Linked DNA regions of Saccharomyces cerevisiae S288C. The gene in region 4 interacts genetically with the main gene of each other region. Each region holds a gene or a part of one and is shown on either strand. Other genes may lie near its edges. The genes, in order: RHO3, BNA1, YKL162C and KIN2.

Region 1 (4,955 bases), on a different chromosome or scaffold from region 4:
TGCACTTTCAAAGACTTTGTGTATAAGACTTTAAATCTATCATGACATTGACGAGAGTTTCTCTCGTACCCATATTGTTGGAATAGGATTTTTGAAATTTTTTTCCAAAAATTCTTCATAGGCTTGAAATATTCTACGAATGTTAGTAATTGAGAATTATTCATTATTGTAGTAATGAATGCTATATCCTCAGGCTCTTTCCATTTTTTCCTTATCTGTCTTGCAGACGAGGAGGATGAATTAGAGTTGTTTAGCTCATTTTCGTCAATAGAGCCTGAGTTGGAGTTGGAGTTCGAATTAGAATTGGAGTTCGAATTCGAATTTGAACTGGAAATTATTCTTGGAGTAACTAAAGAGCAGTCCGAACCCGTTTCTTCATTAAAATTTGAAGTAATGGGTGTGTTTAAATTTGGTGAATAATCAGGGAAATTTTTGCTTATAGTGCTAGACTCATCCATTAGGTTCAACTTCGGTTGAAGATATTCCAAGTACATTTTATAAATATCAGTAATAAAATGATGAGAAAAAAAAAAAAAGACTTAAAAAAAAGGACTGAGAAATAGTTAAACGAATACGATAATATGATATACTACCATGAACTGTAGTCTGGATAACCAAACGGAAAAAAAGGAAATACAAAAAAAGTCAGATTGTAAGGAAAAAAAAAGAGTAGTTTCAGTATTACGAAAACTATTAGATCTTTCTTTAATTTGAACAAGAAAACAAGACTATAAAAAAAAATACTCTTTAGGATGCAGACATAAAAGAACAATACGACCGTCCCTTATTTATATATAGTCCATAGAAATAATCTCAACCAATATAATATGCAAGAAAATAACGAAGTAAGGAACAAGCACAATGGTACGCCCGGTCTTGAAAAAGTTTAAAACAGTACTCGACCCTAGGCGCTAGGGTGGGTGACGCATTTTAACTTTGCAACAGAATGCCATATGCGGTGTTAACCTCACAAGATCGGCTCTACTATCTGCAAGCTGCGGCAAATACCAGAGAAAATTCCATTCCCGTCGACAAAATTTAACCGACCCCCCCCCCCCCCAATTTACGTTTATCAGCTAATCCAAATGTGGAAGGGCAACATTCTCGACGACTCCTTTTTCCGTAATTTAAGTTTGCCCAGGCAAAATCTTATACTTGTTTTCGTAAGAGAAAGATGCGCAGATCCTTTAAGGTTACCTTCAAGCAAATCCAGAAGCACAAATGGCAGGGGAGAAAAGACATGAAGCAGGAGTAGTCAACCGCAAAAACCCCCGCGGGCTTGTTGTTCTGCACATTTTTGATGTGTTTGTTCCTAAGACAAAGTCCTAACTTAGGGTAGTAAGTGACTATATTCTGCACGCTCTTAAAGCAGCCACCTCGTTTAATTTTGCATGCTTATATAAGCTTATAAACGAAGTACCTGAGGACCTGCATCGGCCGGCCCATGTGAAAAGGAAGTATTTACTTTTTCTTCTTCTTTACTATGGAAATAGCTGGAATCCGACTATGCATATGCGTAAGAAAAGAAAATGAAGGAGTTTTCACAGGAAAGCACACTTGCATACTGGGCACAAGTGAGGAGAGGGGCCTGTAATGCTTCTGTGTTTAAAAGACTCCGAAATTAGTCAACGCAGATTTGCAGATGCACGCAAGAATACATAATCAATCACAGTAAGCACATCTCCCCAAGGAAAGAGTAAATGCCTTCGAGCCAGCATTGTGGTCATGCGAGATGTCTAAGAAAAATACTTCGATAAGCACGAGGAAATGTAATATGTCTATCTACCTTATTTTTTTTACAATAAACATATAATAAATCCCTTATCTGGTCACGTGAATTAAACTTCGGGTGTGTTGTAAGAATGGAAGGAGTAAGCGAAACTCAAATTGAGGCCACTTACCACTTCCGGTCGAGCCCGGCCCAGAACCAGTCGTCGGCCAACTTTTTTCTTGGAACAGCGTTACCGCACCTACGCGAGAAATAGTAGATTATAGATAAGAAATACAAGGAGAGGGGTGTGGATGAGCTTTTTTACAAAATAGTGTAAGGCGTCCGGGAAACCCCAAGAACGTTTTTTGACATCCACTAACAGGATTACCCGTCATAGATATACTGGTGCCATTACCCGTTAATGGCATCTTGTATATTTCTTTTATCTTTCTTAACATTCCTGAAAATTGGTAAACAGTAAAAAGAAAAGAAAAAGAAAGAAAAAACATGTATTATTTTGAATTTACTGGAAAATAGGCAACCATTGATTTTCGTTTTTTTATCGTTCTCATCTCTAGCTCTGGTCAGCATTTTTTACTTTATAACAACAAGTTTTTCATTAAAATCCATAGTAGCACAAGGTAAAGGGAAACAAACATGTCATTTCTATGTGGGTCAGCTTCAACGTCAAATAAACCGATCGAAAGAAAGATCGTTATTTTGGGCGACGGTGCCTGTGGTAAAACTTCGTTGCTGAATGTTTTCACCAGAGGTTATTTTCCCGAAGTTTATGAGCCTACTGTTTTTGAAAACTATATCCATGATATTTTCGTTGACAGTAAACATATCACGCTATCGTTGTGGGATACTGCGGGCCAAGAGGAATTTGACAGGTTACGATCCTTGTCTTATTCAGATACGCAATGTATAATGTTATGTTTCAGTATTGATTCACGCGATTCTTTAGAAAATGTCCAAAATAAATGGGTGGGTGAAATCACTGATCATTGTGAAGGCGTCAAGTTAGTCTTAGTTGCACTAAAGTGTGACTTAAGAAACAATGAAAATGAATCTAACGCAATCACACCGAACAATATCCAACAGGATAACAGCGTTTCTAACGACAACGGAAATAACATAAATAGCACCTCAAACGGCAAAAACCTGATAAGTTATGAAGAAGGTCTAGCTATGGCTAAAAAGATCGGTGCGCTACGTTATTTGGAATGTAGCGCTAAGCTGAATAAAGGTGTCAACGAAGCTTTCACAGAAGCCGCAAGAGTTGCTTTAACCGCGGGCCCAGTAGCAACCGAAGTGAAAAGTGACAGTGGATCCAGCTGTACCATTATGTAATATAATAAGACACGGACGCACACACAAAAGAATAGAACCCAAAAAGAGAGACTAAACAAATAATATAATAAGTTATAGAAGTTAATAATACTCCTACTATTTTATATTTTTTATGTAATTACTACCACTGCTTAAAAAAAATATTGCAAAATATCATAAAAGTTTTTACTCATCCTGTTCTTTCCCCTCCAGCATGTGCTCGAGATAAGTCGAAGGTGTAGGTTTTCTTTTGGACTGTACGACCAACAAATTACCCTTACTATGGTTACGATTTACGCTACCATCACTTTCTGGTGAATTAAGCAGCTTTCGACTTGGTGAAGATGCAATTTTTGCGGGTTTCCTTATGTCTTCACCCACCTCCTTTTCATTACCGTTATCGAGCGACGATGCGGATGATGAAGAGATTGTAGACACCAGAGAATTTGTAGATACATTATCACTTGTCATAATCACAGGTTTCTGTAATAATCTAGGGCTTTCTTGGTAAAGTTTAGATAGCCTTGTTTTGTATAAGATATCACCTGTTGGTGAAATGAAAAGTGAATTTCTGTTGGATTCGGATGCAAGAGAGAATAGCGGCCTTTCGAAATTACTTAAGAATGGTTTTTCATTATTAGTATGAGATACAAGTGCATCTTTCACCGATTCATCCTTATTTCCGGGACTAATATCGGACTCGCTGATATGGACCTGATCTTGGAAATTTTCTTTGGCGGGATAATCCATATATGGGGAATCGCCGTAAAACTGGGTATGTTGTGTGGAAAACATCTTTGATTCGTAGTCCTGAACACTTCTGGTCAACCTATGCGAAGAATAAGTTGTTATTACCCACCATAGCAATATTGCCAAAAAAATCACTCCCGCGATTCCCCCCACTACAATGAAAACTGTTCCATTAGGCATATCCCCGGAATCCAAAATATAAGGATTACCATTTCTAGAGGGAGGAGTAATACTTGGTATAATAGAAGAGGATGTAGAGTTGGACAAAAGTGGTAAAGAAGATGAAGAAGAAGCAACAGATGTTATCGTACTACTTGAACTGGCAGTTGTTGTCGAAGAAGTGGAAGTGGTTAATTTTGGAAGGCCTCTCTTGGCAATGGTGATTACTGTCATTCTTGCGTTTTGAGTGTCAATTTATTCTATTTTCAACGACCTTTTAAAGTAATAATGAGTGCTCTTGACTTAACTCTAATGCTATAACTGTTTCTTTGCACCGATGCGTTCCTTTGAATGATCTCAGGTAATATATTAAATATTTTTCAAATGTCTTTACCACATTCTTCAGTAATACATTTTCTCTCTAATTTTTCATTTTCCATTTTCCATTTTATTTTTAGAACGTGTGACAAAGTTGTTTCAAGAACAATATAGAATTCTTAGCCAAAAAGAGAAAGCAAGAAAATTAAACTTTATTTGTCTAAGAAAAGCCCGAACAGCGAAACCGATCACTTCCCAGGATCGGAAGGTGTCACTTTGCGCCTTTTGCTCCGCCGCTCTTTCGTCGGCGTTCTTTGCTTCCCTGGGCGCTGTCGCATTAAGAATATCATGTATATTCAGGAACAAAGGTAAATCACCTATAGACGTGCGCCGCAATAACCCTGCTAAGAAAATTCATTTAAAAAACTTACCTGCCAGTCTTGTTGTTTACTCAAACCACATACTATGATTATACTTTTGTCAGAGTTATGCGATGCCGCTTAAGCTTTGATTAAGAATTTTTTTCTCTTCTTTAAGTATGCCGTGCACTTTTCGCTTCTCCAAAATATGACCCAATACTCATTTGGTTATTTTTACCAAGTAATCGATCAGATAGCATTAATAGCGTGAATATTTGATGGAATAACATATTAGAAAAGCTTTAGCTGGCAATTCTTGTACTGTC
Region 2 (4,771 bases), on a different chromosome or scaffold from region 4:
TAAGTCATAGGCTATGTTAGGAGTGTGCAATACCTTTATTGATGTTTTGGTGTTGTCCTGGAAGTGAAATTGTAGGTCACCAATAGCGTTAATTGGTATATTTCTTTTTTGAGCATCAACTACGTTTATGTCAGGATTAGATGATGCTGAGTGTATGTGATGAGCAGATCTTATAAGGGTTCGTGATGCTCCTGAATCGAGAAGGAGGTGTCCAGGGAGTTCATCATCAGAATGATTAGTGTGATTTACCGTAGATTCAGTAAGTTCCTGGCCTAAGGTGAAGGTCGTGCTTATTGTTCAATTGAATCGGTTCAGTAGTTGATTTACTGATGGAATCGTTGTCCGTGCTGGGAGAGTTATTAGATGTGGATACATTGTGAGCCCTGGCTGTTTTCGATTTCGAATTATTTGTTTTTTGAGGATTCCGAGCTATAACTTTGGGTTTGGTTGTATTCGTATAGCTGCGAGAATCATTCTTCTCATCACTCAGATTTCTCCTGTAATTAGGTTTGCTGTTTCTCGATCCCTGTTGTTCTTCATAAATAGCATGGATATCTAAGAACAGTTCAGCGACTGTCATATTTAGATGTCGATGACGTGTGTAGCGTAAAAATTTATATTCGCCAGATAGACCTCTCATAATTAATTGGCATGCGACCTTGTTATTGATATGAATGCCATTATTGTTCAGTCTGTCGATAATGTTTGTGACTTTTGTTTCAAATGCATCTGCAGGTGTACTGCCATTATATTGCAAATTTGCCAGGGTCACAATGTCGTTTGCCTCTTGGGTATCAGATTGCATTTTTTCAATACTTTTGGAAAGAATTTTCATGATATCCGTATAATCAACGGATAGGATGTCTTTGACCCAGGTAGGTAGGAATTGAGAGGGAGCAAATATTTGAAAAGTGTTATACAAGAAGGTGAGTTCATCATCAGTGATCTGACGTACGGGTTTTCCGTTTACTGTCGGAATAATACCACCGAGATTCGAGTTTTGTAAAAATTTGATGTATGTTTTAACCCAATTTGGAAAGTCATTAGGTGAGGTTAACATTGGTGGTGGTCTGACATATTTTTTAGTGGATGTCATATCAGAGTCCGCTGAGGATGAATCAGTAAATGTATTACCTGACTCAGGTGATGGAGTGCTCAGAGGCGTTCCAACTGATGATGGATACTGCGGAAACTGTGATTGTGGCCCAGGTGGAAAGTACATAGGCGACATTTGATAAGGTGTATACGGAATCATAGATGGGTGTCCGTAAAATGACCAACCAGATGGATTGGCTTGGTTTTGGGTCATCATGCACTGCTGTGGGTACGGCCCATTCTGTGGAGGTGGTACTGAAGCAGGTTGAGGAGAGGCATGATGGGGGTTCTCTGGAACAGCTGATGAAGCAGGTGTTGTTGTCTGTTGAGAGTTAGCCTTAGTGGAAGCCTTCTCACATTCTTCTGTTTTGGAAGCTGAAACGTCTAACGGATCTTGATTTGTGTGGACTTCCTTAGAAGTAACCGAAGCACAGGCGCTACCATGAGAAATATGTGAATGTTGAGATAATTGTTGGGATTCCATTGTTGATAAAGGCTATAATATTAGGTATACAGAATATACTAGAAGTTCTCCTCGAGGATATAGGAATCCTCAAAATGGAATCTATATTTCTACATACTAATATTACGATTATTCCTCATTCCGTTTTATATGTTTATATTCATTGATCCTATTACATTATCAATCCTTGCGTTTCAGCTTCCTCTAACTTCGATGACAGCTTCTCATAACTTATGTCATCATCTTAACACCGTATATGATAATATATTGATAATATAACTATTAGTTGATAGACGATAGTGGATTTTTATTCCAACAGCAACATGTTAAAACGAAAGCTGATGTTTGGAAGCCGTCTCGAGTAGGCTATACCGACATATTTTCCCAGGAATATAAAGGAATTGTTGTTGCGATAAAGTTTGTGATCTGTTCTGATGCTGAAGGAACCTTGTACCCGAGAGAGTATAACTCCCGTCTCCATGATGTAAAAAGACTTGGGAGAACAGGACTGTCATTCACAGATAAAAAGGAGGCGTATTTACTCGAATTTAAAAACCAGGACGTTGTAGATCATGTTCATAAGTTAATCTTGCCTTTTAACACATCTTGGCAATCTAACTAGATTCGTCCAATTGTATTTTTACTTCAATAATCTTACATAATAATAAAAATTTTTCTATTTGTCCAAAAAAAAAAAAAATAAATAAAATAAAAAAAGCTACCGTAATTCATGCGTACAGTAACTGGCTTCCTTACTATACCAAGTTTATTCTTTGATTGCGCTGCCAAAATAGCCTGTCAAAATTTGCGCGGATGTATTTTCGACGTCAACGGTGCCATTATTTTTCTGTCACTGACACCTGTACTCCTGAACGGGTATCGGCATTTAGAACGCTGCCTCCAAATGTCTGGTGAACGTTCGTGAATATTCAGAGTGTCGTTATTGCAATGGAATGGCTGCCTTTGTGACGGCGTCAGGATAAATTGTGAGTCACTGAAACATATTCGGCAAAGTAAAAAAACGGACGTAAAAGATTCTTTCTTTATTCTTTTCACGACAGTCTACAAGTAACTGAAATAGCATACATTTACCAAAAAAATCGAAAAAAATGTTTAATACTACACCAATTAATATCGACAAATGGTTGAAGGAGAACGAAGGCCTTTTGAAACCACCGGTGAATAATTATTGCTTACATAAAGGGGGATTCACTGTGATGATTGTCGGTGGGCCTAATGAAAGAACCGGTTATCACATCAATCCAACTCCCGAATGGTTCTATCAAAAAAAAGGATCTATGCTTTTAAAGGTTGTGGATGAGACAGACGCTGAACCAAAGTTCATTGATATCATCATCAATGAAGGCGATTCATATTTATTGCCAGGAAATGTTCCTCACAGTCCTGTTCGGTTTGCTGATACTGTGGGTATTGTTGTGGAACAAGATAGGCCTGGGGGAGAAAACGATAAGATAAGGTGGTACTGTTCTCATTGTCGCCAAGTGGTCCACGAGAGTGAACTGCAAATGTTAGACTTAGGTACCCAAGTGAAAGAAGCCATTTTAGATTTTGAAAATGATGTCGAAAAGAGGACATGTTTCCATTGCAAGACGTTAAACTACGCACGCCCTCAATCTAATTAAGTATTAGAAGAGTTGTTAGTTGTACTTTTATAGCTCTCTTGTTACGTAAGATTGCGGCACTAAGATGCGGTGCCAATTTTTTTTTTTTTTCTCTTGATCAAAGCAGCTAGCTGTTCATCAAGATATGTAACGTTTTTAAGCACTGAACTAACAAGGGGAGCCAGTGAACGACTATGTCTTCACAAGATGTTCTGATACATTCAGATGATCCGTGCCATCCAGCAAATCTCATTTGCACGCTATGCAAGCAGTTTTTTCATAATAATTGGTGCACCGGAACTGGAGGTGGGATTTCAATAAAAGATCCTAACACGAATTATTATTATCTCGCCCCATCTGGGGTGCAGAAGGAGAAGATGATACCTGAGGATTTGTTTGTCATGGACGCTCAGACATTAGAGTATTTGCGCTCTCCCAAGCTTTACAAGCCAAGCGCATGTACTCCATTGTTCTTAGCGTGCTACCAAAAGAAAAATGCAGGTGCTATAATACATACACACTCCCAAAATGCTGTGATATGCTCCTTGCTATTTGGCGATGAGTTCAGGATTGCTAACATCGAACAAATCAAAGCAATTCCAAGCGGAAAGGTGGACCCTGTGACCAAGAAACCCATGGCGCTATCGTTTTTTGATACGCTGAAGATTCCCATCATTGAAAACATGGCGCATGAGGACGAGTTGATCGATGACTTGCACAAGACTTTTAAAGATTATCCAGACACATGCGCCGTAATTGTGAGGAGACATGGCATTTTTGTTTGGGGTCCGACAATCGATAAGGCCAAAATTTTCAACGAAGCCATCGATTATTTGATGGAGCTGGCCATAAAGATGTACCAAATGGGGATTCCTCCCGACTGTGGCATTGGCGAAGAGAAGAAGCATCTGAAGATGGCCAGTCCGTGACGGGTTAATGCTTAAATTTATTGTATGATTTATATACTTCTATACATGGTATTATTATTATTATTATTATTATTATTATTATTATTATTATTATTATTACTATTATTGCAACTATATTATTTTGTCTTTGATTCGTACACTTTTTCCCATATTACATGCTCATTTTCGATTTTATTCTTGGTGTCCTTTAGCATTGGGACCTTCTTTTCGTCTATAGGAGCTAGACTGTCATCATTTTCTGCATCTATGAGGCCAACAAGAGCAATCTCGCTGCCTCGAAGTAACTGTGCCTTGCAGATGAATTCCTTGCTTATGCGGTTGAAAACATTGGTTATGAATAGATTAGTATTTTTGTCGAAGCCGTTTAGGCTTGCTATGAGGCATTCGCCGTCAACTTTGATTATAACAACTCTTTTATTTAAGTAGTCTTTCAAGGTGGCTGACATGGTGCACGATAGTGTGTTCTTCTTGTATGGTGTACTGTATGCAGCTTGCTGGTCCATCTTATAAGAACCACGTAAGATTAGTTTTTTTTTTTCCCTTTACGCCATGATAGTATTTTCAGGACTTAAAGGGAAAATCAACAAGAACAGAAAGAAGGAAAACAAGCAAAACAAGGATACTGCAGACGTGTAGAAACATTTAGTAAAATGGTCGCTAGA
Region 3 (5,281 bases), on a different chromosome or scaffold from region 4:
AAGTTTCTTATCCGATTTCCTACTTTTGAGCTCCGGCTTATGTTGAAGATGTTACTTTTCTTTGTCTCTAAGTGATCTTTATTTTTCTGGCTCCAGTGAAATTTGGTAATAGCATAGTCACTTCAACTAAAGTCTGATAGTAATACTTGCAAATATTGCAAAACTTGGAAGAATGTTAATGAATCATTTCTTGCACCATTCTTTCAATCATCTCAATCTCCTGCTGTGATGTTTAAGTATAACATTGAAGACTATGCCCTAATTTCCAATGTTATTTAGTTTTAAGCATATCTTTGTTTCTAACAGGAAACTCAGGCCCACATCCGCAAAAAAATATGTGCCAAAAAACTTTCAACACTTCAAAGATACTTACCACTGCAGGAAAATAATCTACGTGTAACGGTTTGAAAATAAATTTGACTTCATAATTGGACATAAGTACTCCATCGCCATCCCTTTTTAAAGAAGTTTCCACAAGAATGAATGGCTAATCGCAACTAAATCTTTTCCTTGCAAACGTAACACAGTATCGACATTTTCTTACTCAATCCAACGAAGGAATAACCTATCTAAAAAATAAACGCCGTAGTTTTCAGCCCACAAGACGTCATTAAAAGATTTGTTAATTATAAAAATAGAAATATTTCTACCAGCATGATTATTCGTTACTTGAAAGTCCCCAATAAATTTCACTGTTTCCGTTAACTGTTGTAGTTATTAAACGCAGCAAACAGATTATTTTGAACAACACCGGAGAAACACGCGCAGACCCATTCGAGTTAAAAATAGTAACTCGCGATCAATCAATGCAGGAAGCACCGTAGGAATTAGTAAGAACTCGTATTTTGATTGAAAATGCCATGAAAGCAATTGACTTGCTGCAGTAAAAAGCGCTGCCACAAACTTTGTAATTTTCGACAATGACGTTCTTTTCAGATGGTTACTGTCTTTTTTTGGAAGAAACAAAAGAAGGTACTTTTATGATGTTATACTAGGCAAAAAGCCTATTTAATGTAAGTCCTAATTGTCGTTTGAGACTGGATGAAAAGGGACAAAATGGAAGGATAACTAAAGGTGACTTACCGCCAGATTAATTCGGCCTGGAATAGTTTGATATCGAAGAAAGATTCACAATTAAATGGCGACTGACACCGAGAGGTGTATTTTCCGTGCATTCGGCCAAGATTTTATCCTAAATAAACATTTTCATTTGACAGGTAAGATTGGTCGGGGCTCACACAGCCTTATTTGTTCTTCAACTTACACAGAATCGAACGAGGAAACTCACGTGGCTATCAGAAAAATACCAAACGCGTTTGGCAATAAACTATCTTGCAAGAGAACTCTTCGTGAATTGAAACTACTAAGACATTTAAGAGGGCACCCAAATATAGTGTGGCTCTTCGATACTGATATAGTATTTTACCCAAATGGGGCACTAAATGGCGTTTATTTATATGAAGAACTAATGGAATGTGACCTTTCTCAAATTATAAGGTCCGAACAACGCCTGGAAGACGCACACTTTCAAAGCTTCATATATCAGATACTGTGTGCTCTGAAATACATACATTCTGCTAATGTTTTACATTGTGACCTGAAACCAAAAAACTTACTTGTTAATAGTGATTGCCAACTAAAAATTTGTAATTTTGGGCTATCGTGTAGTTATTCAGAAAACCACAAGGTTAACGACGGCTTCATTAAGGGTTATATAACCTCGATATGGTATAAAGCACCAGAAATTTTGCTGAATTATCAAGAATGCACAAAAGCTGTCGATATTTGGTCAACAGGCTGTATCTTGGCCGAACTACTTGGTAGGAAACCAATGTTTGAAGGGAAGGATTATGTAGATCATTTGAATCATATTCTACAAATACTTGGAACACCACCTGAGGAAACATTGCAGGAAATTGCCTCTCAAAAGGTGTATAATTATATCTTTCAGTTCGGTAATATCCCGGGAAGATCGTTTGAAAGCATACTACCTGGTGCTAATCCAGAAGCGCTTGAATTGCTAAAGAAAATGCTAGAATTTGATCCTAAAAAAAGGATTACTGTAGAGGATGCACTAGAGCATCCATATTTGTCAATGTGGCATGATATAGATGAGGAATTCTCATGTCAAAAGACCTTTAGATTCGAATTCGAGCATATCGAAAGTATGGCGGAATTAGGAAACGAAGTTATAAAGGAAGTATTTGATTTCAGGAAAGTTGTTAGAAAACATCCTATTAGCGGTGATTCCCCATCATCATCACTATCTTTAGAGGATGCCATTCCTCAAGAAGTTGTACAGGTCCATCCTTCTAGGAAAGTTTTACCCAGTTATAGTCCTGAATTTTCCTATGTAAGCCAACTTCCATCACTAACTACAACCCAGCCATATCAAAACCTTATGGGAATAAGCTCTAATTCATTTCAGGGTGTTAACTAAAAGGAAAACACCTTCAAACAAGATACTAAGCATGAAAATAGTGAACTACTGAACGGACCTACTGAGCCAAATATAACAAAAATGAGCCCAGTTTCATCGTCTCCCCCAGGTCACGATATAAATGTCAATGATGGTACAAACCAAAATACAAATGAGGATGACAGCGATTTTTTCTTCGACCTAGAAAAAGAACTTGAATTATTTAGACGATAAATTTTTGTAGCAGAAAACCACAACTAATAGATGCGCACATACACTATCTATAATGAATATGTAAAATGCCTGTTCACCTTCTTAATTATTGGTATATACTTCAAATATTGCAAAAAGAGAAAGTCCTCTCGGCGGTTTTGCAGTTCCTTCCGAAAGCGGGAAAAACCAAAATGTGAGAAAGTAGGATACACCATTGCGTAGATTCGCGATGATCCGAATATAAACATGATTCCCTCGTCAGTCCTCTCTCAAGTTTTCTTTCCCGTTTTAAATAGCTTACTAATATTTTCACAAAAAAGTTGATATCATTTAAAGGTGCTTTTGGCGGGATTGAATGATGAAAAGATTACACCCCTTGAGAATTCAAGTTCATCTGAAATCTGATTACCCACTGTTTACTTTCGAGCAATTACTCTCTACAAATGGGATAAGAAGAGGCCAAACTGCGAGAATTTCTTTGAAAGATTACATAGAGTGGCAAAATTTCCCAAACATAATGAAAAGAGAAAATTTTTTTACGCAAAGGAAGCCTGTAACTACAACCGCAAAAGAAGAACCCTTTTCATTTGATAACATTCTTGACTGTGAGCCACAATTTAGCAAATGCCTTGCCAAATGGCTACTGGTTAATTACAAATTAAATGACTATCCTTATTACGATCTTAACATTGTGAATATTTACACGGATTTACCCCAAGCAATTCAGATTTGCAAAAATTTAATGTCATATCTCAAGTCTACTTTATCTGATAACATGTTCCAGAAAATAAAATATTTCATGGTACCTCTATACAAGTGTGACAAAATACCTTCGAAGCTCTTAGACGGAATACCTGGATCAGTCAGTTTGGTACAAGATTATCCGGTTTCCCCATATTTTTTACAGAAAAAATTTCACATAGAGGATCCAATCCAAATTTTGATGCTTAATGATGTTATAAAATACACAACCCACGATTTAGTAAGGTACTCTTCAGATGACAAAGGGTGGCAACAGTGCTTTGTGGATATCAATAAGAATGGACAAAAATCCAAGAGCTTTGATAGCGCCATTGACTACTCATGTGAACTTGCATTAGAACAAATGTTCAATGATCGATCCCATGTAAGTCCTGGTAAAGAACTTTATATCCCCACTAAATTAATTGAGATATTGATGACAATCAAGAATAATATTCCAGAACATAGACTTTTCATTGTAGACACCCCGCAAAGATCGAGCCCAACAATAATATCGTTATTAAAGAGTTTAATAAGCCCACGGCCGACGGGATCTAGCCAGATAGTACAGCCATATTCGGATTCAATATTTTCAGACAAACGGAGTGGAAGAATATGCTTCATGACGGACTTCTTACAGTTACAGAACATTTATAATGGTATTAACAGTTCTTCTAGTAGCTGCGAAGTCGAAGACGTTGCTGATTTTGTTGAAAAATGGATTAGCCCAAGTGAGAGAAGCACACTTTCGTCGCAGAATGGAAATAGGCCTCAACTAGAAGACATAAAAAATAGCTCTTTGGCGGTGCTACACTCCACGTGATTTCTTTTATTTCGTTGAATTAAAATGAAGACGTTTTTTACAGTAAGCGACCTTAATCTTTGTTTCTATTATCTACACTTTTACGTTTAGTATATTCATTTCATAGGCAGTAGGCATTCTTTTAAGAAAAACATAGCGCGCATATCTTCTCCTCTTTTGTTTCGCAACTCCCAAACAAGATATCAATTTCCCACCACTCTAACGAATGCGAATAGTAACCCCATATTTAAATAATACTATAAGGGTATTCGTACGAGGTAGGATTTTCAGTAGACCAAATAGCCTTCAACGACATCATAAGTACACACTGAGTCTAAGCATTGAACTTTCATATGAATATATGGGACTATAAGAGATGGGTGTGAAGAGAAAGACAAATTTGGGTTGAAGAGTTATAATTAGCCTTATGCAGGTCTCGCTCGCATATTCTTAACTCAATAGGAGCAATTTCTTCCATAAGCTTATATCCATATCCGGTCATTTTCTTCATTTGTGCCTGTAAACGCATATGATTTTTTTTTCTTAGGCACGTTCTGCGTGAAAATTTCCTGTTGCGGATGAGTAAGGTGTTCGTTCTACTTCAAAACTCCGTCGCAAATTTAAGTTTAATCTTGTAAATTGCCTAATACGTCATACGTCAATACATGATTCGCGTTCTTTTTTTTCCATCTTGCTAACGCGAACCTAAACGGTGCGACAAAAAGCCACTGGGCTTAATCGCTTAACAGAGCTACCGATTCTGCTTGATCTATTGACAATTTAACGTAGACTACGTAAAAAGTATATATGCATATATTAATCGATGCCTGCGCAATGTTGCTAACACTTTTCCACTTTATGTCGCTATCTTGCCCTCTTTAAGGAAGTTGCATCCTTTTATTTAGTATATTTTTTATATTCACAGAAGTTCAGAGAGTAAAAGTACAACATAATTACTAAATGGTGTCTTTTTCGGGAAAGGAAAGCCATGTAGCCCAAATATATTGGTTTGATAACAGTTTCACTATACTGTTTCTGCCCAACAGTATATGCCAAGTGAGCCATGGTCAACCTTAACTCCTTCTGCTACTACCTCATGCGGCGCT
Region 4 (7,830 bases):
GCCTGTGGTGCTTGTGGTACAGTTTTGCTGCCAGTTTGCTGCGAGTATGTAATTATGGGGTGAGCGGCATTTACATTAGGTGCTGGATTGATGGCTGGATTTGTTTTTTCGTAAGCGGCGATACTAGGCGTTGTGCTACTTGACATGTTTGCAAATGCATTATTAAACACTGGAGGTGAGACAGACTCGGTTAGTTCCCTTTTCTTTGCAAGCTCTTCGAGCCTTTTCTTTTCTTCCTTCATTTTTTTTCTTCTTTCACGGTCTTCCTGTTGTTTTCTTTGTTTGGCCCTTATTATTTTCAATTCAGGCACAAAAATGTTGCGCAGCTCAAGTTCCAAGTCCCTGATGCACCAAGCGCAGATAAAAGTGGAGCATTCAGACAGCGGTTTGCGTTTATCAGTAGGTCTTGAAGACTTGGTGCTGGGTTCAAGTGTGGATTGGGGTCTGCGAGAAGACCTTCTATTGCCGTGCGAATTTCCCATTATGATGACGCCAAAATCACGTTGCGACAGCGTGTGCTGTGGGGATTTTGTGGTTGAAGATATAAGCTCTATAATTTTTGGAGGTTGGCATTCCCAATGCTGCCACCTGTAACAATGATCACAGCATATCAATGGGCGGTTATTGAAGAGGTCAGTCTCCGTGTCTTCGGTGATAATCATGGGCGCCAGCTCTGGTTCGCCCGGACATTGGAAAACAGAATCTTGGTTGTCGGGCTCTTGCTGCGGAGTAAAGATCCCGTAGTTGGCAAGCTCATCTAGCTCTTCCTTTGTTATGCAGAAGTCACTAGGCAATTCAGGGACGTCTCCCGTCTGTAGTGGCCCAACAGTTCCAGGAATTGGTGGTTCCACCGGGATTATACTAGATTGAAAGTTAGGGCCGTGATCAAGAACTCCGATATCGATTTCATTTAAGGGATTGTCCTCCTCCCTGCCCAAAGACGTTTCAAAAAACGGTGTACCAGAACCACTTCTATCTTTGAGCTCGTTACGCCTGGTCAATTTTTCATCTCTATAATCTTGATCGTACAATTGCCACAATTGGTTCCAAAGAAGATCTTTTATCTTTTTGATTTCCTTCGACACTAGCTTGTTTCTGTGCCTTATAAATTGTTCTCTTTCATCTAGTTTTTCAAACCACTCACTTTCCAAGTCTTTTTTCTTGTTTTCTTCCTCTTTCGCTACCAGTCTCGAAGATCTTTTCCTCCTTGTCATTAGCTCCGCAATTGCTCTCTCCTTTTCTCTGTTGGCCAAAAGTTTTGCCGAATATAGTCTATGTTCGGCATACACCGGTATTAAGTTAGTTATGAACTCATCTATGGCTTTCGAACTTTTATTCTCTGACCAGTATTCTAGCATGGACCCCCAATTAGTTGTAATCACATCATAATCAATTGTAATCGATTGAAGATATGCATCGATATCGTGAGAGTACTCGAGATGAATAAGCTCCACTGAATCAGGAATGTCTGGGTCGCTTTCTTTTATAGTACAGTTCTGTAGTTTTATTGGGATATTCAGAGTTTGAGAGACTTGGGAGGAAGAGCCTTCTTTTACTCTGTGAATGGTTTTCTTTACGAGTACACCAACATTGGGTAAGGCAAACAAGCTCTTCATTTCCTCCCCTCCACTATTATCATCATCCAGTATAACTTCACTAAACGTAAACAGATGCAAGTTATTCGCTAAGTAGTTTTTGAAGATCATATTTTTCATTTCAATTAATTTTATGATACTGTAAATGATGTCGAATTGGCGTGCAATTTCAAGCTCCAAAAAAGGTAAGTCCGTAACCAAATCTGAATACGCGCTCGAGTTTTGCAAGTGATGGTTAACTATAACATTCCAATCTTTCAATTGCCCGCTTTTATTTCCCGCTAATTGATGCAATAATTGCAATCTAATTCTGTCGTACAAATTTTGCGATCCTTCATCTACGTCGACTTCATCATTGTAATAGTTCGAGTCCTTCCCGTCTATCTTCGAAAATACGTCAGTTACAAATACACCTTCATCGAATTTGATATTCTTCCACAAGCATTTGGTAGAGCTACCGCCATACTGGTCAGTATTAAATGTCGTTGTAGTATATGATTCGCAGACATTGGAAAGCCAAGCCATCACATACTGGAAGTGCCAGTGATTGGCCAAGTCCGCGATCTTCTCATCTAATATTTCAGAATACGGCAGCTGGTGCTTGTTCAATTGGGCTATTATGTCTTCGGAGACATATTCTTTCCAGTCTTCACTATCCGCATTCGCAGCGCCGGCAGGCATGCTCGCTCCTACATTTCTTGTACCCCTAGTTCTCTTCGTTCTCATCGATCGCTGATTCACCGCTTTGTATCTATATATGATTAGCCAGTGTGTATGAGTAAAATAGAGCAATTGATCTAGTTTCTTAGTCGTGTCACTATTGAATAAATAAATGTTAATGTTGCTGGAAAGGAAGAATTATGTCACTTTTGACGCTCTCGCATTCCGTGTGCGGTGATAGCGGTAACTTGGTCTAGCAACGAAAATTTAAAAAGGTTGGAAAAGGAAAAGAAGAGCTCAAGTGGACCTAGAAGTCCTGCTTTGCCACCGTTTAAGCAAGGAATAGAGCACGCCGTTGACACAAATTCACAGTCAAGGACGGGCCACGAGAACTTTATTACAAAATATACTGCATTACACGAAATTCAGCGGAACTCTGAGCGCGAACAGCATTAGGTACCGAGAAACGCTTTTCAAAAGAAATTTCTAAAAGTTTTATTGTGCCATTAATATCGCGGCTCAATTGTTAAGTATTTCACTATGCCTAATCCGAATACAGCAGATTACTTGGTGAATCCAAATTTCAGGACCAGTAAGGGCGGATCTTTATCGCCGACGCCAGAAGCTTTCAACGACACGCGAGTTGCTGCACCAGCCACTCTTCGCATGATGGGCAAGCAATCTGGACCAAGAAATGACCAGCAACAAGCACCACTGATGCCTCCTGCAGATATCAAACAGGGCAAGGAACAGGCAGCTCAGAGACAAAATGATGCATCGAGGCCTAATGGCGCCGTGGAATTAAGGCAATTTCATAGAAGATCTTTGGGAGATTGGGAGTTCCTTGAAACGGTTGGCGCAGGCTCTATGGGTAAAGTTAAATTGGTCAAGCATCGTCAAACAAAGGAAATTTGTGTAATAAAGATTGTTAATAGGGCTTCCAAGGCTTATCTCCATAAACAGCACTCTTTACCTTCCCCAAAGAATGAGAGTGAGATATTAGAAAGACAAAAGCGGTTAGAAAAAGAAATTGCGAGGGATAAAAGGACTGTTAGGGAAGCCTCTTTGGGCCAAATCCTTTACCATCCTCATATCTGTCGTTTATTTGAAATGTGCACTATGTCAAACCATTTTTATATGCTTTTTGAATACGTTTCCGGTGGACAGCTGTTAGATTATATTATTCAGCATGGCTCATTAAAGGAACACCATGCGAGGAAATTTGCCAGAGGTATAGCTAGTGCGCTGCAATACTTACATGCCAATAATATTGTTCATCGAGATCTGAAAATTGAGAATATAATGATATCTAGTTCAGGTGAAATTAAGATCATTGATTTTGGTCTTTCCAACATTTTTGATTATAGGAAACAATTACATACGTTTTGTGGTTCCTTGTACTTTGCAGCACCAGAACTATTAAAAGCGCAGCCATACACAGGACCTGAGGTAGATATTTGGTCGTTTGGTATTGTTCTTTATGTCTTGGTCTGCGGTAAAGTACCATTTGATGATGAGAACTCAAGCATTTTACATGAAAAAATAAAAAAAGGTAAAGTAGACTATCCTTCACACTTATCCATTGAAGTTATATCTTTATTAACCAGGATGATTGTTGTCGACCCATTAAGAAGAGCAACATTAAAGAATGTCGTTGAGCATCCATGGATGAACAGAGGATACGATTTTAAGGCTCCATCATATGTTCCTAATCGTGTTCCATTAACCCCTGAAATGATAGATAGCCAAGTTCTGAAGGAAATGTATCGCCTAGAATTTATTGACGATATTGAAGATACAAGAAGATCATTGATCCGATTAGTAACTGAAAAGGAATACATCCAACTTTCCCAAGAATACTGGGACAAATTATCCAACGCCAAGGGGTTGAGTTCAAGTTTAAATAATAACTACCTAAATTCAACGGCACAACAAACCTTAATACAAAATCATATTACAAGTAATCCATCGCAAAGTGGTTATAATGAACCAGATAGTAATTTTGAAGATCCTACTTTAGCATATCATCCATTACTATCAATATATCACTTGGTTTCAGAAATGGTTGCACGGAAATTAGCGAAGTTGCAAAGAAGGCAAGCATTGGCCCTGCAAGCGCAAGCTCAGCAAAGGCAACAACAGCAACAAGTAGCACTTGGCACTAAGGTCGCCTTAAATAATAACTCCCCGGATATTATGACCAAAATGAGGAGCCCTCAGAAAGAAGTAGTACCTAATCCTGGTATTTTTCAAGTGCCGGCAATTGGAACATCGGGAACCTCAAACAACACTAATACCTCAAACAAACCTCCACTGCATGTAATGGTTCCTCCTAAACTAACAATACCGGAACAAGCGCATACTTCTCCAACATCTAGGAAGAGTTCCGACATTCATACGGAATTAAATGGTGTTTTGAAATCAACACCAGTCCCCGTGTCTGGCGAATATCAGCAACGTTCTGCTTCACCCGTAGTAGGTGAACATCAGGAAAAGAATACAATAGGCGGCATATTCAGAAGAATATCACAAAGTGGACAATCTCAGCATCCCACACGGCAACAGGAACCTCTTCCAGAAAGAGAACCTCCAACATATATGTCAAAATCAAATGAAATTTCCATCAAAGTACCGAAAAGCCATAGTCGTACTATATCAGATTATATTCCTAGCGCTAGAAGATATCCATCTTACGTGCCAAATTCTGTTGATGTAAAACAGAAACCCGCTAAAAACACTACCATAGCACCTCCTATAAGGTCAGTATCACAAAAGCAAAACAGTGATCTTCCAGCTTTACCTCAGAACGCCGAACTAATTGTTCAAAAACAACGGCAAAAACTATTACAGGAAAATCTCGACAAATTACAAATTAATGATAATGATAACAACAATGTGAACGCTGTAGTCGATGGTATCAATAATGATAATAGTGACCATTATCTCTCCGTTCCGAAGGGTCGTAAGTTACATCCTAGTGCAAGGGCTAAATCGGTGGGGCATGCTCGTCGTGAATCTTTGAAATTTACTAGGCCGCCTATACCAGCAGCCCTTCCGCCATCAGATATGACAAACGATAACGGCTTTTTGGGAGAGGCAAACAAGGAGAGATACAATCCTGTTAGCAGTAACTTTTCGACCGTTCCTGAAGATTCTACCACATACAGTAACGATACTAACAATAGACTGACTTCGGTGTATTCTCAGGAGCTTACTGAGAAGCAAATTTTGGAGGAAGCTTCAAAGGCACCCCCCGGGTCTATGCCATCAATTGATTATCCAAAGTCAATGTTTTTGAAGGGTTTTTTCTCTGTACAAACAACCTCCTCTAAACCATTGCCTATTGTTCGTCACAATATCATATCTGTTTTAACAAGAATGAATATTGATTTCAAAGAAGTGAAAGGCGGGTTCATATGTGTCCAACAAAGGCCATCTATTGAGACTGCAGCTGTCCCTGTTATAACCACTACTGGCGTGGGTTTGGATTCCGGAAAGGCGATGGATCTGCAAAATAGTTTAGACAGTCAATTATCATCCAGTTACCATAGTACAGCGTCCTCAGCATCAAGAAATAGTTCGATAAAACGCCAAGGTTCTTATAAGAGGGGCCAGAATAATATACCACTAACACCTTTAGCGACCAATACACATCAAAGAAATTCATCTATCCCAATGTCTCCAAACTACGGAAACCAAAGTAATGGTACATCAGGGGAACTATCTTCCATGTCATTAGATTATGTTCAACAACAGGATGATATTTTAACAACATCAAGAGCCCAAAATATAAATAACGTAAATGGTCAAACAGAGCAAACCAATACTTCTGGTATAAAAGAAAGGCCTCCTATTAAATTTGAGATTCACATTGTAAAGGTTCGTATCGTCGGCCTAGCAGGTGTACATTTCAAAAAGGTTTCTGGTAATACGTGGCTATATAAAGAATTGGCATCGTATATTTTAAAAGAATTAAACCTATAGATACGTTGTTCTTACTAAATATTTCAACGTGTGTCTTTCAATTTTTATTATCTAATATTTATCTTTTTTTAATATTATAGTATAATTTATTTAAGCTGAGATCTGCTTTCTTTAATCTTTCATATGATGAAATAATAGTTCTACATAAATCTATAAGAATAATAAATAAAGTAAAACAACTGCAAAAAACATCGATGTCATCCAGGATCCTTGAAAGATTTCACTCTGGAGAAGAAAAAAGATTTCTCATTTCTCAACGAACAGTTAGATGCATTCCCTTCCTTATCCACTACAATTGAACTTAGCCATTTCAACCGTTGATATCTCTTATTGCCTTGATTCTTGATTTGGAATTCTTCGATAAACGTATACTTTTCATCTGACCTTGTTATCTTTAAATGACCAAAATCATAATCAAATCCGAGGCTCCAATAACACATATGACTATGCCTGGGTTTGTTCTCTTTGGAGAAGTGCTTCACGACAGCGCTAGGTTCATCTGTAGAAAGTAATCTCAAACATTGGCCGTTCTCATAAAATCTGAAATACCTGTAATAGGTGATCATGTGAACTGGCTTTAAAAGAGATAACGAACTTTCTGCATTGGAACCGTATCTTACATAATTTACTACACTGATGTAAACACCTTCGAATTTAATATATGGCCTTTCCCTTAACATACGATAATCATCACCCCGCCATATTTCCTTTTCAAAGGTATTTATATCGGTGATTCCGTTAAGATCCATTGCCATTTTGTCGTATATTTGCTTAGAATATATGTACTTCGCGAAAGTTTTAAATGGCACAGAATCGTGGAAGCAAAGCTTGCTAAAGGTGGAACAAGTCATCGACAAATTCACCCAAGATTCACCAGACATTAATATAACTTTTTTAATAATTCTCAGTAAAATGTCGTCAGGCAAGATTTCCAGAATCCAGCAGGGTTGAAGTTCAGCATTTTCTTCAACAGATAAGTCATCTTTACCGGTTTCATTTTGTTCATCTGGAGCATCAGTAGTCATTGATAATCCCGATAGTTTTTTGTGCAGCATCCACTCATCAAGTATTTTTTTTCTGTACAGTGATTCCACATTATCATGGATTTTCAATGCACTTCGATAGAAGTTTATAGCATCTGACATTGACCCATCCTTCTCTTTCAGTACACCTTTTTCCCAAATAGCAATAGCCTCTTTAGCCCTAGGGTCCTTTTCATAATCTACTATCATTTGCTCCTTGAGTTTAGCTTATGGAACACATGTGTCGTCGCCAAAGATGATGGGGAATGTTTGCTTTTATCTTGCTCAGTCGATTTCGCTATCTAGGAACTACAATCCTTTTTTTTGTCATTTGGAAGGCTCTTTAAAATTCCGAATCGATAAGTTCGGAGGTGGGAAAGGATAGCGGTATATTCCTTCCCAAATAAAAAGGCTACAAACACATTACATAAAGAATATTTGTTCAAGTAAACATATCCTCTTCACTCAAGATTACTTCGACAAACCATCATTGGTGTTTCCACCAATCAGCATATCAATCTCATTCAATAAAGTAAAGTCAAAATTGTACTCTAAGGCAAAATCGTTAC

The links.
Region 1: of KIN2 (region 4) and RHO3, extra expression of one rescues a mutant of the other (dosage rescue), as found in Saccharomyces cerevisiae (one study listed by BioGRID).
Region 2: mutations in KIN2 (region 4) and BNA1 together harm fitness more than expected from each alone (negative genetic interaction), as found in Saccharomyces cerevisiae (2 studies listed by BioGRID).
Region 3: mutations in KIN2 (region 4) and YKL162C together harm fitness more than expected from each alone (negative genetic interaction), as found in Saccharomyces cerevisiae (3 studies listed by BioGRID).

What each region holds. Positions count from the first base shown.
Region 1 is NC_001141.2:137,384-142,338, forward strand, and holds RHO3 (Rho family GTPase RHO3), read left to right. Parts: upstream 1-2,368; coding exon 2,369-3,064; downstream 3,065-4,955. Other genes in the region: RPI1 (Rpi1p), read right to left, coding at 1-494; pheromone-regulated protein PRM5, read right to left, coding at 3,230-4,186. UniProt on the Saccharomyces cerevisiae protein: Plays an important role in cell growth. Required to keep the uninucleated state. Modulates morphogenesis during bud growth via directing organization of the actin cytoskeleton and the position of the secretory machinery for exocytosis.
Region 2 is NC_001142.9:469,568-474,338, reverse strand, and holds BNA1 (3-hydroxyanthranilate 3,4-dioxygenase), read left to right. Parts: upstream 1-2,667; coding exon 2,668-3,201; downstream 3,202-4,771. Other genes in the region: YJR026W (gag protein), read right to left, coding at 257-1,579; methylthioribulose 1-phosphate dehydratase MDE1, read left to right, coding at 3,375-4,109; U4/U6-U5 snRNP complex subunit LSM8, read right to left, coding at 4,226-4,555; REC107 (Rec107p), read left to right, coding at 4,760-4,771.
Region 3 is NC_001143.9:146,545-151,825, reverse strand, and holds YKL162C (type II protein arginine methyltransferase), read left to right. Parts: upstream 1-2,987; coding exon 2,988-4,196; downstream 4,197-5,281. Other genes in the region: putative protein kinase KDX1, read left to right, coding at 1,139-2,440. UniProt on the Saccharomyces cerevisiae protein: Arginine methyltransferase involved in the assembly or stability of mitochondrial NADH:ubiquinone oxidoreductase complex (complex I).
Region 4 is NC_001144.5:329,795-337,624, forward strand, and holds KIN2 (serine/threonine protein kinase KIN2), read left to right. Parts: upstream 1-2,795; coding exon 2,796-6,239; downstream 6,240-7,830. Other genes in the region: IOC2 (Ioc2p), read right to left, coding at 1-2,321; SCF ubiquitin ligase complex subunit HRT3, read right to left, coding at 6,437-7,471; CHA4 (Cha4p), read right to left, coding at 7,733-7,830.